Drosophila melanogaster: one gene and its partners. The protein of the gene in region 2 purifies or fractionates together with the protein of the main gene of each other region. This does not show direct contact. Each region holds a gene or a part of one and is shown on either strand. Other genes may lie near its edges.

Region 1 (3,756 bases), on a different chromosome or scaffold from region 2:
TTTTGTTTCATAATTTATATGTCTATTTAAATACCTTCCCTCTCTCCCCCAAAAAAAAAAATGAAACGGAATGAAACGTATAGAGCTGCTATGAGGCATCAGGTTTTCCCCAATAACGTTTGGTAGCATTTTCATTTCGTATAGAAAGCAATCGGGCAATATGTGAAAGCGAAGCAAACGCAACTGCCAAAAAGTCATATTTACACGATTTACGAATATAAGTGGGCGGCTGAGACGAAGGACTTTGCGTTTGTTTCATTTAGCAATCGGATACATAAATTATAAACATAAATTATACACGGATACGACGCATCATCACATTTTTCTTAAGGACACGGAACGCATGGGCAGTGGCGATATTCTGAATAAAATTGCAAGTTATTATAACTCCAAAATAAATTCGTTTAGACGATGTAAGCACTCTCACTCATTTGTGGGCTTAAAAGTCTTTTTGTTTTGTATTGTTTTCTTCGCTAGAGTTTATAAATGTACAAATAAAGCAGTGTGTTGTTACGCTACATAAAAGAAACAGACGGCGGATTGCTTCGGATTCCACGAGCACCTCAATTGCTGATGATGGCTTCCAAGGCGGCCACCACATCGCCGCTCTGCTCGCGGAGCACTTTCTCGGCATGCGCCTTGCTAACCAGCAGCTCGTTCATCTGAAAGGGCAGAGGGGAAGGAAACCATTACAAAAGGAAGATCGGAAGAAAGTTATCTATGGGAAACCAAAGGAGGAAATCTAAGGGAACTGGAGCTAATGCAATGAACTATATTTGTATCTCTACAATGAAAGGGAATACTTCCTTGTAGTTTCGCATACGTACAATCAGTTCAATGTCCTCCTTCTTGACTTGGACCTTCTGGAGCTCCTTCTCTTTGGCTACTCGCAGTTCGTTCTCCTTGTTACGCTGGTTGCCAAACTGCTCCACGGCCTGTAAATTATAAAAAAAAAGGATGTTGTTAATACAAATATTGCCTTGCTAATAAATATATGAACTTACGCTGGATATATTGTCCGCAGAGATCTCCTTTTCCTCGGCATAATCCGTCACACGTTCCAAATCTAAAAGCAAGATGAAGTTTTAGTATTAATACTCCATATTTATTAAGGATTGGTGCACAATACATGATATTTCATAGATGCCAGTCATTTTTTTGCAATTTTTCAGTGGAATGAGTTGCGGCATGTGAAATATTTATTTACCTGCGGCGCCGTCGTCATGTCGTTTCACATCGGATTTCTTTTGCTTTTTATCCTGCTCGTCATCCTCCACTTCTTCTCTGCCGTTGATTTCCGCTGCTTCCGTCATTTTCAATTGTTTTTTTTTATGTTTAATTCAATAAAAGTTCCGAAATTCTTTGCGATTTCTTCACCTCGTGCGATTAGAGATGGACTACTAGCGATAACACAATCGACATAATTTAACTAATAATCTATGAGTGTTTGCTTGGCTTTTATTGTAATAGTTTTTGAAGTTTTTTATGTAATTTCGAATTTGGAAATTGTGTATTTTCAATATGCACTTAGCGCTGTATTAAATTAATTGCATTTATGCTGCGTGTCAGCGTTGCCACCTGTCTGTTTTTGATCGAAAGCGACAGCCCTGTTTCAAAAGGCGCGCAGTTTGAAAAGTGTGCTTCAACAATTGTACACTTCCAACCAAAGAAACAGTAAAATCATCAAAACGCCAAGAAATAGTGTCATATTGTTAAACAATAAATTAAACGAAGTTGATTTTGACAAGAAAGGCGAGGAGAGGAGAGCAGTTAAAAGTTGACCCCACAAGTTTTAAGCAAAACATTGACACATCTTTCTTTAAATTTAAAGTCAATGCTAAAGTTTTTAACCGCAAAACTAATTAAAAATGTCTAGCACATGCAACGTAAGTAACTGCTTTTGGCGCTTTGCTCGTTTCTTTCGCACATTCCCAATTTTTTTGTGCTGCGGTCGAAATGTTAATTATAAGTTTGATGCTCCGGCTATAATTAGATTTTGAAGCAGTAGAGACATGCATACTTCTCTGCTCTGATGTGCGACATCCTTTTTTTAGTTCAGCTCCCCCGCCGCTCCTCTAGTCCACTGTGTGTGTGTGTCACTGTGTCCTGTGTGTCCTGTTGACATAATCGTTTGCCATCATGATTAATTTAATTGTCACTTTGACGTAAAGGACACTCACAGTTCCTCCTGCTTGCGTGCTTTTGCCCGGTTTGAAAATCAAGATTAATTAGCATCCATGACCATGGGCGGTCAACATCATTTGTTAGGGGGCGTGTGCGCAGATGGGGGGTTGGTTTGCACCAAAAAAAAAAAACGGGGGATCCACGGGGTGGCGACATATGTGCACTGCATTTAATTCGATTTTATTTCGGCAGCTCCGGATTTTTCATCGGAATTTCGCATGCGGAGCGCAAGTGATCGGAAAATGAATAAGAAATGTGAAATGTGGGAATTTTTGTGGTTTTAACTCAGTCACACAGATACCCTTTAAAAGTGGAAATATCTGTTGAGAAAGTGAAAAAGTCATTATATAAACAATTTGTAGTTCGCTTAATTAAGCTTAAATAAAAGTAATTTTCTAATCAATGACAATTTTATGACTAACAGTATTTGAAAAATAAATAATAATACTTATTTAATATATCAACTAATTTACCTTTTTCTTTTGAAGAGTACGCAAAAGGGTTAAATGCATTTTGTTTACCCGCGCAATCTCAGCTCAAACGAAGCATATGCGATTGGCAGCAACAGGCATTGCATTTGCATTTGCATTGTTAGCCCAGTTCTCATTTTCCATTTTTCCATTTTCCCCGATTTTTCACCACTCGCTTTCCCCATTTTTTTTCTCCCCGTTTTCCGTTTGCCAATTGGAAATTAAATTATGGTGCTAATTAGCGCAGCACATAAATTAAGTTGCCAATTTCGGTTGCCATTGTGGTTGGCAATGGCAAATTGAGCGTTGCATATCCACAGGGGCATCCTGTTCCTTTTACTGTGTGTTAGTGTGTGTGTGTGTGTGTGTGTGTGAGTGCTTGCGTGTGTGTGTTGGTGCTGGCACCCGAAAATTCACACAGTATCTTTTCTTTTTTTTTTTGCCATTTTTTCGGGGTTAAATTCGCTTGCGTGACGTAATTTAACTTGCATTGTCTTCGCGAAGGGCAAACATTTTGTTCGAATTTGTTGTTTTCCCTTCTGGTGGTTACTTTCTGCGTTTTACACTCGGTTTTATTGTTTCTTTTTTTCTTTTTGTTGCGGTTTCTGTTCTTTTTATGCCAACTTTTTAAGTGTGCAAAATAGATACAAAGATAGCACAGACGACAGGCCATAAATGAGTTATCAGGATTGTGTAATAATTTAAGGCGCTAGAAATGCAGATACATATATGTTTTAAAGGGATTTAGACACTTAAAAATATATGACATGTGTAGATACTTTAAAGAGTACAAGCTTTAATTTATTTGTTTTTTTTTCTGTTATATTTAGAACTTTCTGCTCTCTTGTCTTTCCGTGTTTTAATTACCAACACCCGAATGTAAATTTTGTTGATTATCAATTTGGAAATGCTCGTTGCCAATTTAATTCAAGAATTTGGCAATGAACATGTGTTCAATTTGCCACACCTCCATCAAAAATCAGCATTTCTGCTGGCTTCCTGCTTCATTTTGGGGCATTCCCTTCACGAACTGAATGCAGAATGCAATTGGCTGCACATACAGACGAGTTCACAATACTAGCAATGAAAATACAAAATTATA
Region 2 (3,756 bases):
GTCTCACCTGGGAGTACCCCTGAAATCCCCTGAAAGAGCTGAAACGCAATCACGGCGTCGTCAAAAATTCGCCAGCAAAAAATGCAAAGTCGAGTGCCGGGGGACTTCGCCAAATGGCTAAAAACTAAGTGCAGAGTAAACAAGAGTGCAGCGTCAGCGGCACAAAGAAAGAAGCGATTAAGTTTCCGCCACAGAGAAAATGTCCAAGAATGACGGTACCTGAAAGGAAAATTGCCAAAGTCTAGCGCTGATGGAAGAGCAAATACGAGTATAATGAAAATGGTTCGGGTTCGCATATGCGTTCTTCGCCCTTCGGAAAATGCTTTCACTGTGCCAAGATGGAAATGGTGGAAATGTCAATTCATTAGAAAATTGAAATAAGATGGCAATTTCGCTGTACAAAGGGGTTCTTCAGTGGGATTCTTCTGCTGGGACCGAAAACATTTTCAAAAACCAGGAAATGATCGGCATTTAATATAGTACGAGCTACATTGGCACCGGAGATTGTCATTCTTGTAGAACAAGCCATCCACCAGGAGAAGTGAAGTCCGAAAGGATTGTCTGGATTACATGAAAGTATAGTAAATAAAAACAACATGAAAGTTTACGATTTGATTGTAATCATTTAATTACCATTAATTTCTATGGCGAACATGGATGTTATTGAAATTCTCTTTATTTCATGACTTTGAATACAAAGGAGCCACTCAGAGCGACTTAACCCACAGTCAGGGCCATGATGGCATTGACCACATCGTTGTCGTTCTTCAGCAGCGCCTGGATCGCCTTTTTGCGCGAGCACGCGGCCTGCATCTGTACCAGTTCGATGTCCTTCGCATGTAGGCCCATGGCATCCGCGTCCTCGCCATCGTTCTCGTCGTCGTCGTCGTCGTGTGGGGACTCCTCGCCAGGGGCTTTTCCATCCTCGTTACCTTGCCGCCCGGCAGGCGAGGTTCCACGGAATCGCTCGGCCGCCTTGACAGCTGCCTGGGAGGCGACGGACGTGGTGCTAGTGTCCTCCACGCAGATCTCCCCAAAGAAGATGTACGTCGACGAGTGCGCCACTCTGTAGACGTCCGGCTGATCGATGTACAAGAGGATGTTCTTGCCCTTCTTCATGGTCACTCGGGCCACGTTCTCCATGGGCTTCAGGTCCAGCTTCATGAGGATCCGGCGTGCCTTCCGCTCGCCGCGAGACTGCTTTGATACCTCACGTGTTCGCACGGCCACCGTACCGAGTTGACCCTGCTCGTCCGGTTGGGTCTCCTTGGGATCCGCTTCCACGAGATCCGGGGCGTCATCGGAGTCCGTGCTCTGATCATCCTCAACTACGCAGGATTTCGCGGCGGAGGCGCCCTCCTCCTTCTGCGAGTTCGGCAGACTGAACACATTGGGCGGCAGCTGTTTGGCCAGGCTCATCAGCTTCTTGATCTTGTTGCGGTAGGCCGGGTCCATTTGACCCATGATGTGGGGCTTCCCCTTTGCGCCACTAAAGCCTGCCGGAGGTTTATTCTTGACATCCAAGGCGTCTTCCGAACTGGAGATCTCCTTCTGAAGTGCCTTTGCGACGTTTGGTTTTTGCGTTGCCTTGGGCTTCCCTTTTTTTCCACTGCCACTTGGTGAGGGAGAGGCTTCTTCGGCAGGCTTTTCTTTGGCCACCACGTTGTCGGCAGCGGTCTTCGATTTCTCGGCAGCGGTCTTCAATTTCTCGGCAGCGGTCGCCATCTGGGCAGCCTTCTTCATTTTCTGCTTCTTACCCATCTTGAGGAATAAACAGCAACTGAGGGATTTGCGATCACAGATTTGCGAGGACAACTTCTCCAAAAAAATTTCCAAATTGGCAGCGCACGTGGTGTGACCTCTTGCGGGAAAGACTTGACAGGAAATATCAGAGGTGAAACTTCCAGTGGCTTGACAGCTGGTGTTGCTCTCTTCGATAAGTGCTGTTGCGAAATTTGGTATACTTATCGAAAAGTTTTTTCATAATGAAAACTGGAAATTTTTTATGCTAATGGCACCTAAATAGCGAAATAAACAATATCAAGTGTTGCTTTCGGAAAGATTATAAGTTTTTAAAATGGCCACTCGGCCATTCGAACATGCAGAGCACGCCTAAGTCTATCGATATCGATAGGTCCCAGTGCAATCGTGAACTGATTATAGGCGTTAGCAGCGCTGCTCTGAAGAAAGTTGGTATTTTTCAAACGAGAATGTCAGCTGCCTTCGAACTGTGCACTTAATTTCGCGGTTATAAAAGTTTTGCTGCAGCGCCTCGCAAATTCTATCGAAATTGATGATTGCAAATCAATCCACTGCAGTGACGTGCTTGAAAATTTTCACCTGACAAAGCCAGTTTAAAAGTGGTGGAGAAATGAAAAGTTCAGCGGTTATTTGGGTAATATTCGAATATGCAAAGTCGTAAAACTCGGATGCCCGGAAAATGCCAAAGACCTGAATCTGAAGCTGGTTCCTCCGTGTTAATTGCTGTCGTGGTCGCACCGCAGTCTGCCTCCAAAGCGGAGCAGCCCCACAAACACGACGCGGTGGAGCAAGCGCGGTTACACGTGCGGTTTTCCTTGCGGTTTTCCGGCTCCCGAATTTCCCAGATCAGGCGGTTCAGGGCGGGGCTGTGTGATCCTGTTTTGCGTTCTGCGTGTGGCGAAAAAACACTTGCTAAGTGCATTAAAAAAGTGCCACGCCCTATTAGGGCGCTCTTCGTGTTACGGAAATTACATCACAATTCGAGACAACCGTACAATAAGAATATGAGCACGTATGGATCAAATCCCCAATGGAGTTAACATAACATTTAGCATAATTTTCATGAATTCTGACCTTTCCTATTTCCTACATAACAGGTATGTGGTAATCGGGAGCATGTATTGCATTTTTTCTGCAAGCCGCTGCGCTCTGTCTGATGATGCGTTTTTAATTGCTCGGTTCTTTTAATTAAAGTTCGAGCGAAAGAAGGGCGTCCACCACCTGCAATTATTAAACTTTATCGTGGGGTCAACGCCTAATTGAGTTGCACAAATTATTCAGGAGAGGCGAATGAAGCAGCAGGAGGAGGACTAGGAGGATGTGGAGGGCAGGAGACCGAGGATGCATCCGGCTGCCGCCGCAGAGTCTGTCCTGTCACCATAATTAAATTCGAGAGGCCAACTAATCAGATATTCCCTTTGCCCAGCCATGAGTCCTCGCATCTTAACATCTCGGTCGATTCGATTCAATGTTGCTCGGTTAAGTTAAGTTCTGCGCGGACTTGGAACTCGGAGACCCGGAGAGCCGGAGAAGGGTGAAAAGTTTTTGGGCGTCCTGGCACGTTCGTCCCATGATTAATTATCCGCCCCATATGCTGCGGTGTCATCTGGGCCCATCCAACTTATTGGGGCTTAGTCTTAGCCTCGAAGTTTAGTTTCTGCTGCCACGGCCTGTGCATGAAAAATGAACCCAATTCGGAGGCCCACCAGGACGAGGTCTTCACTCTCCTTCAAGGCAACGAGGCCCACAGAAGCCGCTTTCTGGGGGCAAAAATCTGTAACGCATTAATCATGCAAGTTTCGAGAAATGATTGAAATCATATTACCATGTCGTAGACATGTTATAACCAAAGATGTTTCCGTAATTGAGATCTTGGCCAAGGCATTCATATTGTGCCTGCTCGAGAGTCTCCTCTTCCCGCTAATGAATTTCATTGCTGATTGATGCTTATTTGGCTTAATTCTATTGTTGTAAGTGAATCAGCAGTCTTTGCTA
Region 3 (3,422 bases), on a different chromosome or scaffold from region 2:
AGTTCACGAAATTGACACAGTTTCTATCCGCAGGTGTTGAGCTGATCTGTGTCAGAGTTTGAGCGCAGTCAATCCGTTGCCTGCAGAAGAAATAACCTTGTGGACAACTGACAAGAAGCCTCCAGTCCTGAATAATAGGCCAGGGCAATTACCAGCTGCCACAGCTGATCTTTGCAAGTGTTGAGATGTTCAGTCGCTGGAGAATCGCGGCAGACAATCCGTTTCTTGCAGGGATTAACGGAGGATTACCTAGAAGTAAGGGAGGACTCACATTGGCGCCGGACTTGAGCAGACGTAAGGCAGCCTGGACAGCCCAGTAGGCGGCGAGGATGACATCGGCCTGGCGACCACTGATCTTCTGATCCGCAGCAGCGCCTACCACAATTGTGTGAGCGGCCACGGCAATGAAACCATCAATGTGGGCACCCAGATCGCTGTAGAAAAGAAATGTTACGTATTTAGTGGCGGTATATGTGGAATAGGAGGTTCAACTTACATTTTGACCACATCACCGGCCTTTAACGTGTAGTCAGCATCGTTTTTGGCTGGCGAGAAGTGGCAGACACAGTTGTTGACGGACAGACAGGTGGGAAAGGCAATGCCCTTCTTCAGGTCTTTCTCCTTTTTGTATACCTGTTTGTGAAAGATCGATAAAAGCATTAGATTGCTTGTTCGTTGTACTATATATCAATGATAGTGCGCGGTGTGTCCTCAGATCTCATAATCTGTAAATCCTCGGGACCTTTTGGAGAGCACACAAGCCGGGCACGTGGAGCATTGGAGTCCCCGCGTGCGCCTGGCGACCACGAGGTGATCCCCAGCCCGCACAGCACATGGCTCGCCATCGGGAAACCCTCAAAGGTGTAAGTCTTAATCATTGGACATGAAATTGGCGCGAATGACCGCCAGGTGGCCACCACTTACTTTGCCGGTCTCCTCGGTGAGCTGATTGTCGCCCTGGGTGCAGATCTCCCGGACGGAGGCATCAACCACGCAGAGTCCAATTACCGCCTTGAGGGTTTCTAAAATTAAACGAGCAGACAGAGTCCAGAAATAGGCAGATTAACCAACGCGTGGCGCACAAGGGAAAGCGGCATTCGGTGCATTGTGTAAGCGCCACGTAGCAGCGACTCCAGGAATCGGCCAGCGTTCGCTGTTTCCGGCCAAGGAATACTCACTGTTGACGATTTCGCCGGCCAACTTATACTTGGTCACCACCAAATCCTCGGCGATGGTCTTCTCGGGCTCCTTTTCCACATCTGCCATTGTACTTGACTCTAATAATTTTAAAATGGCGACTTAATGAAAATGCGACCGACTGAAACACCACGAGGTAATGAACGTGTGGCCAGGCGCAGCGCAGGTATCGAAAGTTCCAGTGGCGTGTATGGTGGGACCGCTCATTCGCCTTGACAACCCTGGCAAATGGGCGGTAAGCTTAAGATGAGCGTGAAAGCGTAGATTGCTAGTCGTAAACACTGAATGAATTTTAAATAACACTTTGAGCTATATCAAATGAGAATATTTCATAGTTTTACATATTGTAATCCACTAATATTTCAATAAAAGTTTAAATATTAAGTTTCGGTTTTTTTCTATTACACATAAATGGTCCCTCTAAAAATAGGAAGTCAAAGAGCTCGAAATATCGATACCATCACAGTGTGACCGCTTGTGGAATACCGCATTCGGTATTTTTCTTAGCACGAATTTGGACTAAATGCATATTACAAGTCATCTTTAACAAAAAAAATTTGCATTGAACGTTAATAATAACATTTACTTGCTTAAATCCAATTCGGCTGCCGAAACAAAAGCTCAATTAATAGAAACCTAATCCTATCACCATGTCCGTGCGCGTGATCAACGACGAGTCCCACTTCCAGGCGGAGTTGGCCCAAGCGGGCATTCAATTGGTTGTGGTGGACTTCACAGCTTCGTGGTGTGGTCCCTGCAAGCGGATTGCGCCCATCTTCGAGACGTTTCCAACAAAGTACCCAAAGGCCATCTTCCTGAAAGTGGATGTGGACAAGTGCCAGGACACGGCTGCTGGACAGGGCGTTTCGGCCATGCCAACATTCATCTTCTACAGGAACAGGACCAAGATCGATCGCGTCCAGGGTGCGGACGTCAATGGGCTCGAGGCCAAGATCCAGGAGCACATCGGTACATCCGGTGGCGAGGAGGGGGGCGAGGATTACGGGCAGGGATTGGTAATATAGTGCAGTATTTGGAAATGTTCCAAAAATAATCCCTAATCCTTCTTACAGATGGAACTGAATACATTTATTTCGAAGCAGGAGTGCGAGTGCCTCAACGAAGCTGATGACCACAACTTAAAGCACGCCCTGGCCTCCGCCGGTGGCTACCTGCAGTCCGATTGCGATGAGCAGCTCATCCTGTCCATCACCTTTAATCAGGCTGTGAAGATCCACTCTTTGAAGTTCAAGGCACCTTCGCACCTGGGTCCCAAGGATGTGAAGCTGTTCATTAACCAGCCCCGCACGATTGACTTTGACATGGCCGAGTCCATGAACAGTGTGCAGGATCTAAGGTAGCTATTGCCTTCTCTATGGCTGCTTAGCTCTTCTCACTGTTCAATCCATTTTGCAGCCTGGCTCAGAAGGAGCTGGAGAGTGGAGTGCCCGTGAATCTGCGCTACGTCAAGTTCCAGAATGTGCAAAACATCCAAATCTTCGTGAAGAACAATCAGTCAGGTGGCGATGTGACGCAGATTGATTATATCGGCTTCATCGGTTCCCCCATCATGACCACCAAGATGAACGACTTCAAGCGAGTGGCTGGCAAGAAGGGCGAGAGCCACTAAGGTTCCATTGAAATTTTCAGCGTTTTTCCCCAATGACGTCCCAGCATTTCTTTTCAACTTTGGACTTACAACTAAACAATATACAACAAATGCATAAAAAATCATACAAAATAAGGATCAACAAGATAATCTAAATATCCATCGGGTTAAAGGCTGCTCTGGTAAGAGTCCAGTTCCTTGGTAAGCATTTTCCACGCACGCTCCGCCTGTTTCTGGGTGAATTCGTGATCCCATTGCGAACTGAATATCACATGCGACTTGGCCACGATCTCAGAATTGGGCACCTGACTGGCCAGTCGCTTTTGGGCCTCCACTTCGCTCAACTTGTTGCGCTCAATAATCCGCCGCACAGCCTCATCCGGTGGCACAATCATGGACCACACCTCATGGCAATTGGTCTCCCAGCCCGCTCGCAGCAGCACCGCTGCCTCCAGGACCACCACACGCGGCACGTCCGCCTGGGAACGCAGTGCATCCAGCCGCCTGTTAACCTCCGCAATAAGTTCCGGCCAGACAATGCCGTTGAGTGCTTGCAACTGCTTGGGATCGGCAAACACCAAGGGTCCCAGCTTGGACCGATCGATGCGACCATCGT

Evidence for each region.
Region 1: the proteins of gNacalpha (region 2) and CG9922 purify together in Drosophila melanogaster (affinity purification with mass spectrometry, with the first as the bait; one large-scale study listed by BioGRID). This does not show direct contact.
Region 3: the proteins of gNacalpha (region 2) and Txl purify together in Drosophila melanogaster (affinity purification with mass spectrometry, with the first as the bait; one large-scale study listed by BioGRID). This does not show direct contact.

Annotation. Positions count from the first base shown.
Region 1 is NT_033777.3:14,034,617-14,038,372, forward strand, and holds CG9922 (uncharacterized protein), read right to left. Parts: upstream 1,783-3,756; 5' UTR 1,314-1,782; coding exon 1,208-1,313; intron 1,067-1,207; coding exon 1,005-1,066; intron 936-1,004; coding exon 828-935; intron 663-827; coding exon 564-662; 3' UTR 402-563; downstream 1-401.
Region 2 is NT_033779.5:1,035,384-1,039,139, reverse strand, and holds gNacalpha (germinal nascent polypeptide-associated complex alpha subunit), read right to left. Parts: upstream 1,895-3,756; 5' UTR 1,762-1,894; coding exon 718-1,761; 3' UTR 634-717; exon of another isoform or gene 607-633; intron 562-606; 3' UTR 455-561; downstream 1-454.
Region 3 is NT_037436.4:5,764,163-5,767,584, forward strand, and holds Txl (Thioredoxin-like), read left to right. Parts: upstream 1-1,683; 5' UTR 1,684-1,847; coding exon 1,848-2,213; intron 2,214-2,270; coding exon 2,271-2,554; intron 2,555-2,613; coding exon 2,614-2,827; 3' UTR 2,828-2,922; downstream 2,923-3,422. Other genes in the region: CG10576 (uncharacterized protein), read right to left, coding at 272-434, 497-633, 925-1,022, 1,179-1,266; Ppat-Dpck (bifunctional phosphopantetheine adenylyltransferase - Dephospho-CoA kinase), read right to left, coding at 2,974-3,422.